Drosophila melanogaster: one gene and its partner. The protein of the gene in region 2 interacts with the protein of the main gene of each other region in a pairwise test. Each region holds a gene or a part of one and is shown on either strand. Other genes may lie near its edges.

The links. Proteins that work in one complex are often made in the same cells at the same time.
Region 1: the proteins of BtbVII (region 2) and mil interact in a two-hybrid assay, tested with the Drosophila melanogaster proteins (one large-scale study listed by BioGRID).

Annotation. Positions count from the first base shown.
Region 1 is NT_033777.3:27,908,671-27,916,387, forward strand, and holds mil (milkah), read left to right. Parts: upstream 1-3,776; 5' UTR 3,777-3,897; coding exon 3,898-4,130; intron 4,131-4,195; coding exon 4,196-4,319; intron 4,320-4,383; coding exon 4,384-4,612; intron 4,613-4,671; coding exon 4,672-4,757; intron 4,758-4,811; coding exon 4,812-4,991; 3' UTR 4,992-5,115; downstream 5,116-7,717. Other genes in the region: CG5003 (uncharacterized protein), read right to left, coding at 5,368-6,672, 6,726-6,887, 6,941-7,063, 7,122-7,392, 7,478-7,717.
Region 2 is NT_037436.4:3,144,696-3,153,171, reverse strand, and holds the start of BtbVII (BTB-protein-VII), read right to left. Parts: upstream 4,527-8,476; 5' UTR 4,485-4,526; intron 4,473-4,484; exon of another isoform or gene 4,435-4,472; intron 4,271-4,434; exon of another isoform or gene 4,251-4,270; intron 4,040-4,250; exon of another isoform or gene 4,012-4,039; intron 3,545-4,011; 5' UTR 3,190-3,544; coding exon 3,019-3,189; intron 2,958-3,018; coding exon 2,330-2,957; coding exon of another isoform or gene 2,315-2,329; intron 2,245-2,314; coding exon 2,000-2,244; coding exon of another isoform or gene 1,988-1,999; intron 1,909-1,987; coding exon 1,800-1,908; intron 718-1,799; coding exon of another isoform or gene 1-717. Other genes in the region: Usp5 (ubiquitin specific protease 5), read left to right, coding at 5,127-5,640, 5,702-7,671; Alg2 (ALG2, alpha-1,3/1,6-mannosyltransferase), read right to left, coding at 7,906-8,476.

The DNA of each region.
Region 1 (7,717 bases), on a different chromosome or scaffold from region 2:
AAGCAGAATCTACAAAATGTAATGTCCTTAATGACATTGCCAAAGGAATTTTAATTAAACTATTTCCTGCCTGACTTGCTCGCCGGTGCTGTTGGCTGTTGGCACTGGGCGTGGCTAAGGCTAAGCAGCTTCAAATGTGCACAAATATTGAAATATTTATGGAACCAGCACAAACACATGAGCTTACAGTCGAAGAAAACACTACCTCGAATGCATTTCAATAAGGCAGCAGCCAACAAGCAGCTAGCCAAGTGAGTTTGCGACATTGATTCAATGGAAATTTATTAAAATTATGAAAAGAGAGGATGTTTTTTGTTTTTAGCAGTGCAGCAGCATCATGCCCATCAGCAAACCGAAACGATCCAAGGCGAAAGCCAACCAAATCTGAACCCAATACGTTGCCAGCTCTGGGCCGTAATGCAATTTTAATTTCAGGCAGCAGCGCAGCAGGCAGGCAAAAGTCACGGGGAGGTCATGTGCCATCAGCTGTGCAGCAGAAAGAATAAATGCCCGCCCAACCACCCAAGCACCCAACCACCCAAGCACCTAACCACCCAGCCAACCATCCACCTTGTCGCGTTCCGTTTCCGGCGGGGCTGCCATCATTTCCGCTGCTCATTTTTGACTGACTGCTGACAAATTTGTATGTCTTCGCTTTATGTTGTCGTGTTTGTCTTGTTTGGCTGATTTGATTGTCGAAATGCTGAGCAATTTCGATTGTCATTGTCTGTTTTGCTTTTCGGTTAGCAATCAGCGGCGAATGGGCAACTTTAACGTGCCTTTAAGAGGTGCCAAAAACGAAGCATAAATTTTGTGGCAACATAGCCGCAAGTTTTGCGCCACCGAAAACTTTGCATCAATATGCAGGAGTTGGCCCGTATTCGTGGGAAATGCAGCCATAAGGAAATGTCATTATTACCGCGCTTGCACGCTAATGAAGCATGTAAAATGTCAATGTAGTCGTATGTACACCTCACACACACACACACACAAACACGCGCACGCACACACACACACTCCCTTCTTGAAGACTTCATGTACACACAAACGCATACATATGTATAGATGGGCGTCTGAATTTGTGTACGAGTTGGGTTTCTAGTTTTATTGCAAATGTGTGTAATGAATGTAAATTAGTAAAAAGTTTTCAGGCGGCGGAGGTGGTGCGGGGGTGCGGCGCCGAGGAAGCGTTTGCCAAACTATCCTGCGGCTGGCAAGGATCTGCTCCTTGTGCTGCGCGTGTGTGTGTGTGTGTGTGTGCTTTATGAATAGCATTCGAATTAGGATGTCGGGCAAGACGAAATGCAGGTGTGTGGTTGTTAATTATGAGCAACTAAGCTACCATTTTATTGGGACACTCGAAAAAAATGTGCAATCTTGTTGCCACCAAAATATTTATTGTAATTGTATTAATAAGCTGTCAATCAAATTTCAAATTCACATTCGCCGAGCAGCAGCAAGGATATTTTTGGCGAAAAATACGAAAAGCAATGACCCTCTTAGCCAATTAGTTGGCTATGCAAATTAGACGGAGATATTTCGCAAGTTTTCCAGCTGTTAATTATCATTTAACTAATATCATTTAATGGCAAACACAGCTCTGCACTTTGAGGCATTAGGCGGGGCCAAGTAAAAAACTTTCAACTTCTTTGGCTGAAACTGAAATGCACGGAGAACGGTGGCAACCGACAGCTGCAACTTATTAGATGCGTTGTCTGGTTTATGCAAAACCAAAGGCAACACTGGCCCCTGTCCCTCGGTGCACCAGCCACTCGCGTATCCTAGATCCTGGGAGTTCTGGCCACCACCTAGTTCCATTTAAAATAAGCAAAGCAAACTAACAAAATTCGTTTATGAACGCCATGCTGCCTGCAGCTCAAGGAAAGTTCAACCAAGGTGCAAAATAATTTGTTGCAATCAGCTTAGCCTGGCCAGGATTCCGAGGATGCGATGCCCTTCGCCCGATGCCCGATGCCCGACCAACCAAAAATGGTTAGTGAGTGCCATGCCCTGCCATGGTTGCGTTTCTGGGGCCGGGCAAGTTTTCAATTTAAGTTGAATTATTATGACCTTAATTAACACGTCGTTTCATCATCAAATGCCGCACTACATCTTATGCTTTTGTTGCAGATATTTCGGCATGGCGCCGTTGCTTCAGTTTCAGGAGCAGGTGGAAACGTAGGAGTTCCAGGCTGCCAGGTTGCCTGGCTCGTGGATGAGGATGTTGAGCTCCTGATTCGATTTTCTGCAGACATGCACTTTTGCCAGGAAGGAGCTGAAGCAGGAGCTTTAATCCCTGCGCCAAGTAACTGTTGCTCCGGTTGGTCGGGCTGCGCCAAACCATTCCATTCTGCTGGGCTCTACTAATTTTGGTTTTAATTAAATTCAAACTATGTTGACGCTCCCGGCACTGACGACCTCCGACGAGCGGCAATCACGTGGGTGATGGCCATGGTCCCCATGTTCCTCCAAATGATCCTGATGATGCTGATGATGATGGGGCTGCTCCATTACTTATGTAGCTACATTTTATGCACCGCCTAATTGAATGACCGAAATGTAAATTGAAAATGCCCGAATAGCTTAAATGGTTGTGCACTTGAAGAGTCCTTGATTAGTTGATCTTGATTAGTTCCCAACTATCGATTTCCATCTCATTTGGATTAATACCTAACTATCTTGCATATTCCATTCCTGCTAATGATAATGACGTGAAATATATATACATACCAATTATTTTGCACAGTGCAGGCATACACTCGTACAAATGTGGAAATTGGCCAGCCAGAGCCGTCATCATCAGATGCCTGGCTGCCTTACACTATTTGCGTTATGATTTCTTTTTAATTTCCCAGCGGTATTTAGGGAAAAAATTTAATAATATCAAATATGAGAGCAGCGAGTGGTGGATGTCCTGTGGAGACTGGACAAGTGCATGTGCCGTGTGTCGTGTGTGTTTGTATTTGTGGGCAAACATTCAACAGCGCACAACAATGCGATCTCCCGCTTTTCCCGCTTATCCTCTGCGGCTTTCATTTGGCGGATGTGTGTGTGCGTTGTTGTGTGTGTGTGTGTGTGTCTGGACTTCCGCTTGGCTGAATTTGTTTACACTTTTTTTTCGCCCGCCGCCACTGGCCCACTCATAATTTCATTTTGAAATGTTTGCCTAAGCGACAATTTCACTCTTTTTTTTCACTTTTTTCTGTTGTTTTTCACAGCCGGACATATGGCACTAAGCCTGGCCCACATTATTAAAACCAGCGACAAAAGACAAGCGACTCTCGGATAGACCAGAAACTGGGTCCACGGTCCATTTAACAGACTCCAGGAGGCGATGGCGATGGCGATGGCGATGGCAATGGCTGAACCTGAACCCTTGGCGGCACAGCACTCAGCACGTGATTTGCATACACTTAGGCCAGGCTGGCGGCACCCAGTCCAAGCTTTTGGCCCACACTTAATTACATGCCAAATGAAAAGTTGGCGGAAGCAAACAAAAAATTTTGGGGAAACCAAAAATATATAAACAGGAAAAGAGCAGGAATTAAATGTGCGTTAAATTGCCAATAAACATGGCCTGCATCTCAATGGGCAAAGTAAGGCGAAAGGGGTGACTAAAACAGCAATAACACGAGGGTTTAAAAATGTAGCTTAAAAAAAAAGAATAATAAATTGCTTAATATTTTCTAGTACATCTAGTTAGTTCCAGCACTTTAGTGAAAAGCGGGCCTTGCCTTTTGTGCTGGGAGTTTTGGGAAACTGATAGAGCTACTTTTCATTCCCACAACGGCAGTCACAGCGAAAACGCACACGTCCAAATTTTATACTTGAACAAAACCAAATCACTTCAAGAAATATTTTTTTTATTTTTCTTTTGATTATCGTGTCGAAACATAAATGGAAACTGTGCGAAATCGAAACCCTCCGCGGATGAAGTACACCGCTCCACCGAAGATGGAATCGGATTTAAACTTCACCGAGAAGGAGAAGAAAACTCTTACCGAACTGAAGCAGCTCTATTTGGAGACCATTAACCTGGATGTGGCTCTGCAGCGCGACATTTACAATATCGAGAAGAAGTACGAGGATAAGCACAATATCATATTTGATAAGCGCAAGAAGATTCTAGAGTAAGTCCATTAATGGTGTTTGGTTAAACAAGATCTCAATTCCCCCAAAAATCCCATCGGTGCAGTGAGTTTAGAAAGCAAAACCACGGCGACGTGGAAACCAATCAGAGCGTGCCCAACTTTTGGCTGAGGGTTCTCAAAGCATCGTACACCGAGTTCATCAGCAAGAGGGATGAGAAAATATTAGAGGTATGTTATGGATAGATCCGATTTGAAGGATATTTAAATTTTAATTGAAATTTTTCCCGCGCAGTGCTTAAGCGACATCCGTTCTCGGCTGTACAACGAACCCGTGGTGAAGTTTGATATCGAATTCCACTTCGATCCCAATGATTACTTTACCAACACGGTGCTGACCAAGACATATTTCCTCAACTGCCTGCCGGATCCAGACGATCCGCTCGCATATGATGGCGCCGAGATCTACAAGTGCGAAGGCTGCGTCATCGACTGGAAGCAGACCAAGGACCAGACCAAAACCGGTAAGCCATCTGGGAGCATCAAATTTCACAGATGTTAGTTGAATTCACTCATTGACCAGAAAATCAAGAGCCGTCGTTCTTTGAGTTCTTCTCGCCGCCGCTTTTGCCAGAAGATACCCTTGACCCCAACTACTGTGACGTCAATGTAAGATTGAATATCAGCGATCTGCGATCCTTTCACATGCATCTCCTCCCACAGGCTATGCTGCAAAACGATTTTGAGGTGGGCTTCTATCTAAAGGAGCGCGTGATTCCCAAGGCGGTGATCTTCTTCACCGGCGAGATTGCCGATTGTCAGAGCTCCAGCGGATCGGAGACCGAGTCGGAAGATACCGAGGACGAGTCGGATGCCGAAGAGGAGGATGGCGTCGACAAGTAAACATTTTACACCGCTTATATACAGTTTACATACATTTTTAACTCGAGTCACCGAACTATTGGCCTGTCCTTACCCACTACATACCAACCAAATAAACATTTCATTATACATATTTACCAAAAGGATCTCGCGCGCTCTTTTTAATGCCTAGCTAAAGGAATTGAATTGTGGTTTTGATTTATACAGTGCGTTTAGCCTGGCGTGTATATATTACAAGGACTCGAATAGTCAAACGTAATACTAGATGGCTGAGCTACAGCACTCGCTTGTAGCCAGCGTTGTGGATCCATCGGCTTGGCCATGTCGTCTTTTTTCTTAAAAAAAAATAAAATAATCCAGCACGGCCCACTTCGACGGAATCTTTACAAACAATATTCTAAGGAGCCACCACCTCCTGTGGCGGTGGCGATTTCGGTGGCTGCTCGTCGTCGGCGCGCGGCGGTGGCTGCAGCATCACCACCACCGTGTCATCCTCTTCCTGTGTCTCCAGCTCCGGAAGTCTTTCAAACTCCTCCAAGTGATTGGCGACCACTTCGCATTTCGGTTTGGAGATCTTGAAGCGCCGAATTGCCGGAAGCGTAATGCTGGTGCCACTAACATCGATATACACCAGATTCGGAGAGCACTGCACCAGGTGCTCCAGGGTATGATTTGTGATGAGATGGTAGTTTCGCAACGACAGTCGCTCCAGTTTATTGTCTGGCGAGCGATTGATGTTCCGGATCCAGACAACGTCCGGTTGCACCGGTCGATCAGCTCGGCCAAAGCTATACATCGCCCGATCGGTGACATAGTATTGAGGTGTTGTCTGACAGGAAGGCGGACGTGGGCGCACTCGTCGAGCATAGTCGCGATCCAGTGGCTCGAGCATGTTCCAAAACATCGGATGCTGAACAACCTGATCGTAGTTCGGACGCGGATGCGTACGATGGCGTCGCGTCGGCATCAGAACATTCATCGGGAGTGAGAATTGTTGATTGACATAGATATACCGTTGCTCCGTTCCCTGCGCAAATACGGCCACAACACTACGCTGTTGGCGCGGGTTAGCGTTCTCAGCGTCGGGCACGTAGATGTAAGCGCGCGGGGGTCTAGGATCCAAGCCGGGACTCTGCCCGGGAGCCTCGATATTGGCTGCATCAACTGCAATTGGTGCATCGGCTGCATTGGCTGCATCGGCTGCATGCGGAAGTGGCGGCAAGTCGACGCCTCCGCTCAAAGGTGCAGCGTTGCTATGACCATTTCTGGGCAACGATAAAACCTCCAATTTGTCCGACGAAGACCCTGAGGTGGATGATGTGTCCTCATCATCGGATTCTGATGGTGCTCGTATTCGTTTCGCCTGAAGATCCTGACCCTCCGAAGGAGGCTCAGTTGGCACCGGCGACTTCTCCTCCTTTCTATCGCTGCAGTTGTCCAAATTGAACGCAACCTTGCATGCACGCAGATGCTCCATGGCGGCCCGCGATGTGGACGGCTCGTCATCGCTAAGCACTTTCAGTGAATCAGGCTGCGGGGAAGCAGCTTCGTCAGTGGCGTTGCCGTTGGTATTTTTTTTAGCAACGGCTTGTTTGGAGTGCAGGATCTGTGGCGACTCAAGCAGCAGTTCCTTGAGATTCTCGATAGCGCTAAAACACTGCAGATCTGAGTTGTTGATGGGCGTCTGGCGAAGATCTAGTGACTGAAATAAATAACCCTTTATAAAGAATATTCGCCGATTGCACCTATGCCAACCTCTAGTTTTTGGAAACCGAAACGTGCCGCCATGCTGCCATAGGGCACAAACTTGCATAGCGCCTGACAGCCCTTAAGACTAAGACGCCGCAAGGAAGGTAACTTCGACAGGCCCATAATATAATAGGGCTCGAACCAGCTGTTGTCCTCAATACTGAGATCCTAAATAAGACGGGGTTAGGCTATTCATTGGACTGTCGTTCGCTCAAACTCACCTCTAGATCAAGCAGATGCAGCTCTATGGAGTAAAATATGCTTTTTGGCGTGTCGCCGACCCTAACGCTACAGTCCTTTAGCTTCAGACGCCTCAGAGTGGCCGGGAACTCAGTTATGTGTATCTGAAGAAAAGATAAAATTGGGGTAGACCAGGGAAACTTGCGAGATGCCAGCACTCACGTATTCGAAGTCCAGGCTGACGCCCTCCAGCTCCAGCACTTTAAGCTGTACAACCCTGGGGAAAACGGAGCTTAGCGTTTGGGTGAACTGGCGGAATTCGCCTGCAACATGCTGCGAGGACGGAGGTCCGCAGATTTTAATGGTGTGTGTCTTTTCGGTGGCTCGTCCAAGAATCTCTTCTAGGATGCCCATAGGCAGGGGCCCGTTGCTTAAGTCTATGTGATGATAGAAGCGGTGATCCAGCAGGAGGTTTTCAAAGCGCGGCGAGCAACTGGAATATTACGGAATGTTATAATATGGAAAGGACATGGAAATCTCAGCGACGCAGAGATCTTTGTTGATAGCGGACTACTTACTGCATCACCGCCAGAATGGAGGACGTGTCCAGGTACTGGAAGATCTCGAAGAGCAGCTCATCACAGAAGTCCATGAGGTTGCACTCCGTTTCCCGGTCGAGGGATTCCTTATGCTCCTTCTCCCTTTTGCGCTGTTTTATCTCCGGCTCCTCCTCGGTAGGGATTTGTGGCAGCACTGGCTGCACGGGCACGGCGGCCAGCTCCCGCCCACAACGTTCGTTGTCCGGGAAGCGGCGCTTA
Region 2 (8,476 bases):
AGGGCGACAGATTCGGCTCCTGTTTGACCACACGCGCTTTTATGCTGGGACGTGACACCGGATAGCCACGCTTTTTGTATTCCAGCCAGAGTGTCCTGTTGTTCACTCCGTAAAGTCGTGCCGCCTTGCAGAATCCGATACCTCCCGTGCGTACCGCCTCCAGGGCTCGGATAAAGTTTTCGTCTCCCTGCGGATTCACCGATCTCTTGCGCTTCACCACCTGGTTGGCCGCTCCAGGGGCTCCACCGTTTCCAGCACTGGCATTGCCCGCTGCTCCGCCAGCCGCACTTGCTCCACCGACTCCTGCGTGCACGGGGGATTGGGTGGGCGTCGGACCCTGACTGTAGACCGATTGCACCATGTTTGATTCATTGGGCGAGGTGGGCGAAAGGTTCTGGGCCGCCGTCGCATAGCTTCCGACTAGGTTGTTCACGGTAATGATCTGCGACGAGTAGGCCTGTCCGGAGGCAGAGGCCTGCTCCTGCTGTTGCTGCTGCTGGTAGTGCAGCTGCTGCAGATGCTGCTGCTGTTGCGTGGCCTGCTGCTGGGCTTCGTGCTGCTGCCGCTGATCGCTATTGACGCCGCCGGCGCTATTCGCACCACTGCTCTGGCTACCGGCACCACCACCGCTGCCTCCGCCGTTGCCCAACAAGTTGGACTGGCAGGCGGGCAGGGAGAAGCGCGGATAGTTGGAATCAACAACTGTCCATTGCAGACCTGGGAAGGGGAGAGAGAGAGAGACAGCGAATGAAAGATTGGTTCTGTTACTGGTACTGGTTACTGGGGCATTTCGATCGAAATTGAAGTTGAGATCGCTCTCTCCTAGCTCTAATGGATCGGGATTGGGTCTGTTTGAGTCTGGTCAGGTCAGGTTTGATCTTAGTTCAGTTGTGTTGGTACTGAGACAGTTTATAGGTTCTGAGGCAGTTCTTAGATAGGTACAATAGAGGTAAGTAGTAGAGGAAAGATTGCTAAGGCTAAATCATTATCATCGGAAACCGCTGTTTTGGAAATTCCCACAAAACAAAAATCAAAAAAACGCAAGTAAACGCAAATCGAGAATGAACAATTGAAAAACAAATCATAGATTTAGTTTTTGGAAGTTTTAGTTTTTGTTTTGGACTTTGTGCTAGCTCTCTCCCATTCCCAAGTTCAGGCAGGATTCGGTTTTTTGGAATACAATACACAATAATAGTTAAACATAGAAAATTTCGGCATTTCACAATTATTTCGTTGCACTTAGTCGGTAAATCAGTAATGAATAATCGGTATACTAGATCTCATATTTAGCTTTAGCATTCATTTCTCCAAGCGCTGTGTACTGAAATTGTTTCGAAATGGCACCGTTCGTGTGTGAGATATGCAGATGAAGTATGATTGTGGGCATTATTTCGATGAATCGAGAGTACACAGTGGTTCAGATTTCACATTGATTTGCTTAAGAGAACATAGGTGACAGTGCTTATCAGTTCAGTGAACCCCTAGTCAGTTCGCAAATGATACCAACATTGTAAAGCTATGTTCTTTCAGTCATGCTCGTTTCAAAAAAGTCAAGTCATTTCTGATCTATACACGTTTTCCCTCTTGACTCCTGCTTAGTCTATAGTGTGTCAGCTTTCTTTTGACTACGAATTGCAGTTAAGTTGTCCGTGATTTGTGTTTTTTAAAGTAATCAAGGCAAACAAAACTAAGAAACGATAAAAAAAAAGAATCCAACCTGGCGAATGAGATCCCTACCCGATGAACAATGAGCTTTGATGGAACAGTGTGCTGGCTTTTGATTTCCAATTGCGACTTACCCGAGTGCGAGGACTGGGAGTTCGGCGCATCGTGCTCGGATGGTGTGGTACCGCCGGAGATGTCCAAGGGCATCGTTTGGTTCACGCCGCCAATGTCGACTTCGGGCTTCTGCACGTGGGCACCGAGAAGAAAAAGAAAACAATTAGTGACTTTGCTCATGCGGACGAGGGTACAAGGTTAACGTGACCAATTTCATTACAATTTGCATGTGTAAGTGTCCGTGTCCATCGTCAAGATCCGAGTCCTGCGGCTGCTGCTCTAGCTCAGCGCTGGCCGACTCCTTGAGCAGCTTAGCCGCGTGCAGTGAGTGGCCGGCCAAGCCGCCGCCCGCACCAAATGTCATCTGGTTCATCTGGGCGAGACTGAGACCGGCGTTGCCGGCACCACTGCCCGCGTCCAGTGAGCTGTTGTGCTGCTCCTCCGCGTTGTTGCGATCGCCAGAACCTGCGTTATTACGAAAACCGGTTATTTTTTGAGACCTTACAATTTTGGATCTATCACGACGATGCTTTACCCAACTCCAACTCACCGTTATTCGAGGATTTGCGCAAGCGCTTGCGCCTGGTGGCCGGCGAGGTTCCAGCGCTCAAAGGCGACGGCGTACGTCGCATCTGGTGGTGATGCGTCTGCGCCGCCTGCGCCTGTCCGCTCTGCTGCTGCTGATGGTGGTGGTGATGGTGCTGCTGCTGTTGTTGCTGCTGCTGCGCCTGTTGTTGTTGCTGCTGCAACTGCTGCTGCTGCTGGTGGTGATGGTGCTGCTGCTGTGCCTGTTGCTGGGCCTGCTGTTGCTGCTGCTGCTGGAACTGTTGGGCCTCGCTGCTGCTCCACAGGGAGTCGCCGACGCTGCTTCCACTGCCGGCTCCCAGGCTGCCAGCCGAGTTGCCCGCTCCAGTGCCCACTCCCGCACCGCCCACCATCTCGGTGCCGTCGGTGGAGGACTTGCTATCCGACTTGGTAAGATTGGCCGGATCCGTTGGCATCTCCGCTAGGCCTTTGATCTTGAGCATCTCGGCGGTCTTGAGGATGTGCGGCAGCTGCTCCTGCGACACATTTACCTCGCCGTAGTACATAAAGTCCACCATGGTCTTTAGGTCATCGTACTGCACGTCCTTCAGGATGACAATGGGATGTTGGCACGGATTTGTGGTGAACAAAGCCTGTCGAACACATTTGAGTGTAATTCGTAAGGGATATACGCTGCGGCGATCTCCAACTTACCTGAAAGTACGAGCTGCAGGCGGATAGCACTATTTTGTGGGCCTGTAGTTGGCGACCCTCGGCTGCCAGGGTGACGTCCACCAGGGTGCCATTGTGCAGCAGCGAGGAGCACACGGAGATGAAGTTCGGCTGGTGGTTGTTCCACCGCAGGCAGAACTGCTGCACGGACATGATGTCGAGGGGTCCGGATCCGCGTCCGGGATGCGGATTTGGAGCTCCCTAAACCTCAATCTCCGGAGCAACCTCCTCCTCCTGCTCCCGCTCCTCCGCCTCCTGCTTCTTTCCTTCTTCGTAGCCAATTAATTCGCACTGATAACACTTTTTATCGCCTCCCGCTCGCCTCTATTGATTTTTATTAATTTTCCTTGCTTTCCGGTGTTTTGTTCGCTTTACTTTTTCGCTCCGACTTTTAATCAATTTAAATTTATGAACAATCGCAGTCTGTACATGTGTGTGTGCGTGTGGGGGGTCGGGATCACGGTTTTTTGGGGGGCGACGACTTCTATGCCGCACGCATCGCGAGTCACTGCAAAAAGGGGTAATAAAAATGGGGTTTAAATAAATCAAACATTATCGATGGTTACACAAATTGCTCAACAACAAATTCCACTCTCTCGCTTTCTTCCTCTCTCTCTCTCATCTGCTTTTCACAGCTGCGCGCTCTTCTCGCTTACAATAAAAAATCAAACAGAAACAACAACATCGGCGGGACTGCGTGTGTATGTAATTATACAGTCGCGAAAATGAAACACAACACACACACACACTGGAACACAACAGCCATACTTGTTGTTGTTGCTGCTCACTGGCCAAAGTTTTATTTTTGATAAAACCGAGAACGTAACGAAATCGTATAGCTTTTTGTATAGCCGCAGTGCTGTAGACCTTGAATTTTCTTTAATTCTTATGACGTAATTATATACGCGCCCCGCGCTCCTCCATCTCTTTCGCACTTAATCGCCTTCCCCATTCCCGTCTTCCTCACTCTCTCACCCACACAGACGACCGCCGACGACGTACTAATCGCTGCTTCTTCGTTTATTCATCGTATCGATATTTTCAGTTTTCAGTGTTTCAGTCGTATTTATTTATGTGCATGTCGCGCGTTATTTTCGTATGTCTTTTAGAGGCACAAAGATGATGCTCGAACTAGCCAAGCCGCCACATGTTATTCACTCGCTTTTCCCCCCACAGAATTCCTTTTCCTCTTGCTTTTTATCGCTTTTACAAACTTTGACTTTTTGTGGTAGGTTTTTGCTGTTGTATTTCTTCTTTTTCTTTTGCTTTCCAAAAACAAAATGGCGCGCAACAAATTTATGCGAGGGGCAAAACAACGCCGAAAACTGTTAGAGCGAGCTGAATTTCAATGCCTTTGACTGGCTCACTCTTTGCGCCAACTTTTTTACCACTTTTTACATTATTTTAATGCGGATTTCCTGGCGAAAAACGCATATGAAAATTCTTACGTTTTACTTCTTTATGCGAAAGATTTTTGTGACTATATGGCAACTTTGTATACAACGAGTTGACAGGTCGCTTAATAGTGTGACCAGTCCTAGATCAAAACTAGTATCCCAATTGTTAAAGATTGTCCCAAATTTTAAAATAATTTGTTTATTGTATTTAAATGGTTAACATTTGAATTGTTGTTTTAAAATGTTGACTTCGGTTATACATCTGATGAATCACAATCGGCGTTGCCACACTTTCCCCGCATTGTTCGTACTTAACGGAACCAGTTCGGTTCCCTTGGTGACTCGCGAATTTGTTGTTGGCTTTGGCTAGAGATGACAGTATTGAATAAACAACGATAGCCTGCAGCAGTCAAATTAAACTAATTGTGCTTATTGGGCGGCCAAATACGTAAATATCACTCAAAAGCCGTTATAAGGTACAAAAATAAGGGTAAGAATTGTTAAAAGCTGATTTCAACCAGTAAAACACCATTTCAACCCATCGATATTCGCATATCCATGCTCGCCGGTATCGATGCATTTTCCCATGTTCATCTCTAAGCAGCAGCTGCAAAAAAAATCAACTATACTATTTTACATTCGGTCCGTAAAGTTTATGAGAAAAGAGCTGCCTACAGGATTCCAGATACCGTTATGGAGGAACTACGCAAGCATTTATCCAAGGTGAACGTGCCATGCGCATCCGGGGCGGGCAGTCCTCCCATCTACAAGGACGAGTGCGTCTACTCCTATGACAATCCCGAGACGCCCACCGGTTTGTACGTGTGCCTGCACAGCTTTTTGGGCTTCGGCGAGGCGTATGTGCGGGAGTATGCCGACAAGACCGGCAACCGGGTCTTCCTCCACATCCAGCGGGTGAAGACGATCAAGGAGGGCGCCGACATGGAGGCCGAATGCGCGGAGTCGGAGGCAGGACCGGAACGGAAGATCACCCGCCTGGCCATTGGCGTCGAGGGCGGCTACAACGAGTCGGACATGGCCAAGAAGTACGAGATCAAGGACACGTACAGCATCGTGGTGGCTCCGCACCTGGATAAGAAGCTGCCCTATCCGGATCCAGAGCTGCCCATGCGTGTCACCCAGTCGGTGGAAGCGATCCTGGCCGCCGACTCGGCAATTGCCAAGTTGGAGAAGGCCACGCTGATGGGTGAGTTGCAGGATTGTTATCCCATGCTGACGAAGGTAGCCTAAAATCAATAATTTTTCAGGCACCTGGGATGGTGAAGTGCGTCAGGCGTCGAAGTACGCAGATAACCTGCAGCAGCTGGATAATGGCAAGAGGATTCCCCCATCCGGCTGGCAGTGCGAGAAGTGCGACTTGACCAACAACCTCTGGCTTAATCTGACCGATGGTTCGATCATGTGCGGACGCAAGTTCTTTGACGGCAGTGGCGGCAACGATCACGCCGTGGAGCACTACAGAGTAACGGGTTTCCCGCTGGCGGTGAAACTGGGCACCATCACCGCTGATGGCAAGTCGGATGTGTTCTCCTACCCGGAGGATGAAATGGTACTCGATCCACACTTAGAGCGCCATCTCTCCCACTTTGGCATCAACATGGCGGCGATGAAGAAGAGCGAGAAGTCGATGGTGGAGCTAGAGTTGGACATTAACCAGCGCATCGGCGAGTGGACGGCGCTTACGGAGAGCGAAAGTGAGCTGCAGCCTGTTGCTGGTCCTGGATACACTGGCATGCGCAATCTGGGCAACTCCTGCTACATAAACAGCGTGATGCAAGTGCTCTTCGTCATCCCAGACTTCCAGCAGCGGTTCGTGGGCACTGGAGCGGAACGCTATTTCAAAGAGTTTCCCAGCGACCCGGCCAACGACTTCAATATTCAAATGGCCAAGCTGGGAACTGGTCTGCAGTCGGGAAAGTACAGCAGTATTGCCGAGAACACTTTGGACACCGATCACAGCACCGGAATATCGCCGGCCATGTTTAAGAACATTGTGGGCAAGAATCACCCAGATTTCAGCACCAAACAGCAGCAAGATGCCAACGATTTCTATCTGCATTTGCTCACCCTGCTGGACAGGAATTCGCGGAACCAAACAAATCCCGCAGATGCTCTAAAGTTCCTGCTGGAGGATCGCGTTGAGTGTCTGGCCAGCCACAAGGTGAAGTACAATACCCGCGAGGAATACAGCTTCCGTCTGCCTGTTCCGTTGGACAAGGCCACCAATCTGGATGAGGTGCGGGAGTTCCAGGAGCGTAAGAAGGCGGCCCGCGAGACCGGACAACGGCTTCCGGATCGCGACATCGTGAGGCACAAGGTGCCTCTACAGGCATGCCTGGAAAGGTTTTTCGGCCCGGAGCTGATCGAGCAATTCTACTCCACTGCCATCGGGTCCAAGACGAATGCCAGGAAAATTACGCGATTGGCCACCATGCCCGACTGCCTGATGATTCACGTGGGAAAGTTCACGCTGGGCGACGACTGGGTGCCCAAGAAACTGGACGTTTCCGTAGACATGCCCGATGAACTGGATCTAAGTAACTGGCGCTCCGCTGGTGGCTTGCAGCCTGGTGAGGAGGCTCTTCCCGAGCCCGCCACAGAGGAGGTGAAGTTTGCATTTGACGAGGCGGTCATGTCCGAGTTGCTGACCATGGGTTTTCCACCGGAAGCCTGCAAGCGTGCTTGCTATCACACCAAAAACAGCGGACTTGAGGCAGCCTCCAACTGGTTGATGGAGCACATCGCCGACGAGGATATCTCGGAGCCCTTTGTGGTGCCGAACAACAGCATTGGAGACTGCGCCGCCAACCAGTTTGTGGCCAATCCCGAGAGCCTGGCCATGCTCATGAGCATGGGCTTCGACGAAAGACAGGCGGTGGCTGCTCTGAAAGCGACCGATGGCAATGTGGAGCGCGCCACCGACTGGATCTTCTCGCACGCCGATTCAATTGGTGTTGAGGATGCTGCCCCCGCTGCGAATTCATCAGCTGCAGCGGCCTCCTCGACGCCAAATAAGACCAACTACCGCGATGGCCGCGGCAAGTATCGCCTGGTGGCATTCATCTCACACATGGGCACCTCCGCCCAGGTGGGACACTACGTTTGTCACATTCGCAAGAAGGGCGAATGGGTGATCTTCAACGATAGCAAGGTGGCCAAGTCGCAGAACCCACCCAAGGACCTCGGCTATCTGTATCTGTATATGCGCGAACAGTAGCCAGCCCGATCTCAGTCCAATCCGAATCACCCCAGTCCCACAAGCTAATATTATTCGCCCTGAAGAATGGAATTTAATAATAAAGTACATAAACAGTGCTGCAATCGGTTTTTGGGGGCTTCAGATATATGCAATCTTCACATTGATGAATCATTTGATGACTAATATTTCGCATAAGCAGCTAAAAATAATTCCATAAGAGTTTACAATAGATCTGCTTTCTTAATTGGAATTTTATTTATTTTTCTTAGCACTCGACTCCCTGGAGATAGGAACAAGATCTCTAATAATGCCGTTCAGCCGATCTGCGAATGCTTGGAAAGAGAACTTTTGCTGCACCCGTTTGTGACCCTGGTCTCCCATCTTTACACGCAGCTGCTCGTCCCGGAAAAGCTGGAGCATTGCTCCACCAAAGCTCTTCTCGGTCTTTTCGCACAGAAAGCCAGTGGAAGTGCTCACCACCGTTTCAGTGGGTCCGCCGCTGTTTAATGCCACGACTGGCTTCGAGCAGTACATGCCCTCCAGCGGCACAATGCCGAAGTGCTCGTTCTCTGGCGTATACAGCAGACAGTGAGCGGCAAAGAGCAGGCGACATTTCTCCTCGTCGGTAGGCGAGCGTAGCAGCACAACGTGATCCTGAAGTTTCAACTCCTCCGTAAGGTGCTCCAGCTCCGCGAAGTGCTCCACATTTTCCATGCATCTGGTGTCGTAACCCCCGGCGATGATCAGGCGACAGCGCTTGAAGTCCGTGGCGGGCAGCATGTCGCCCAGAAGGCGCAGGGAATGTAAGGCAAGGGCGTGGTTC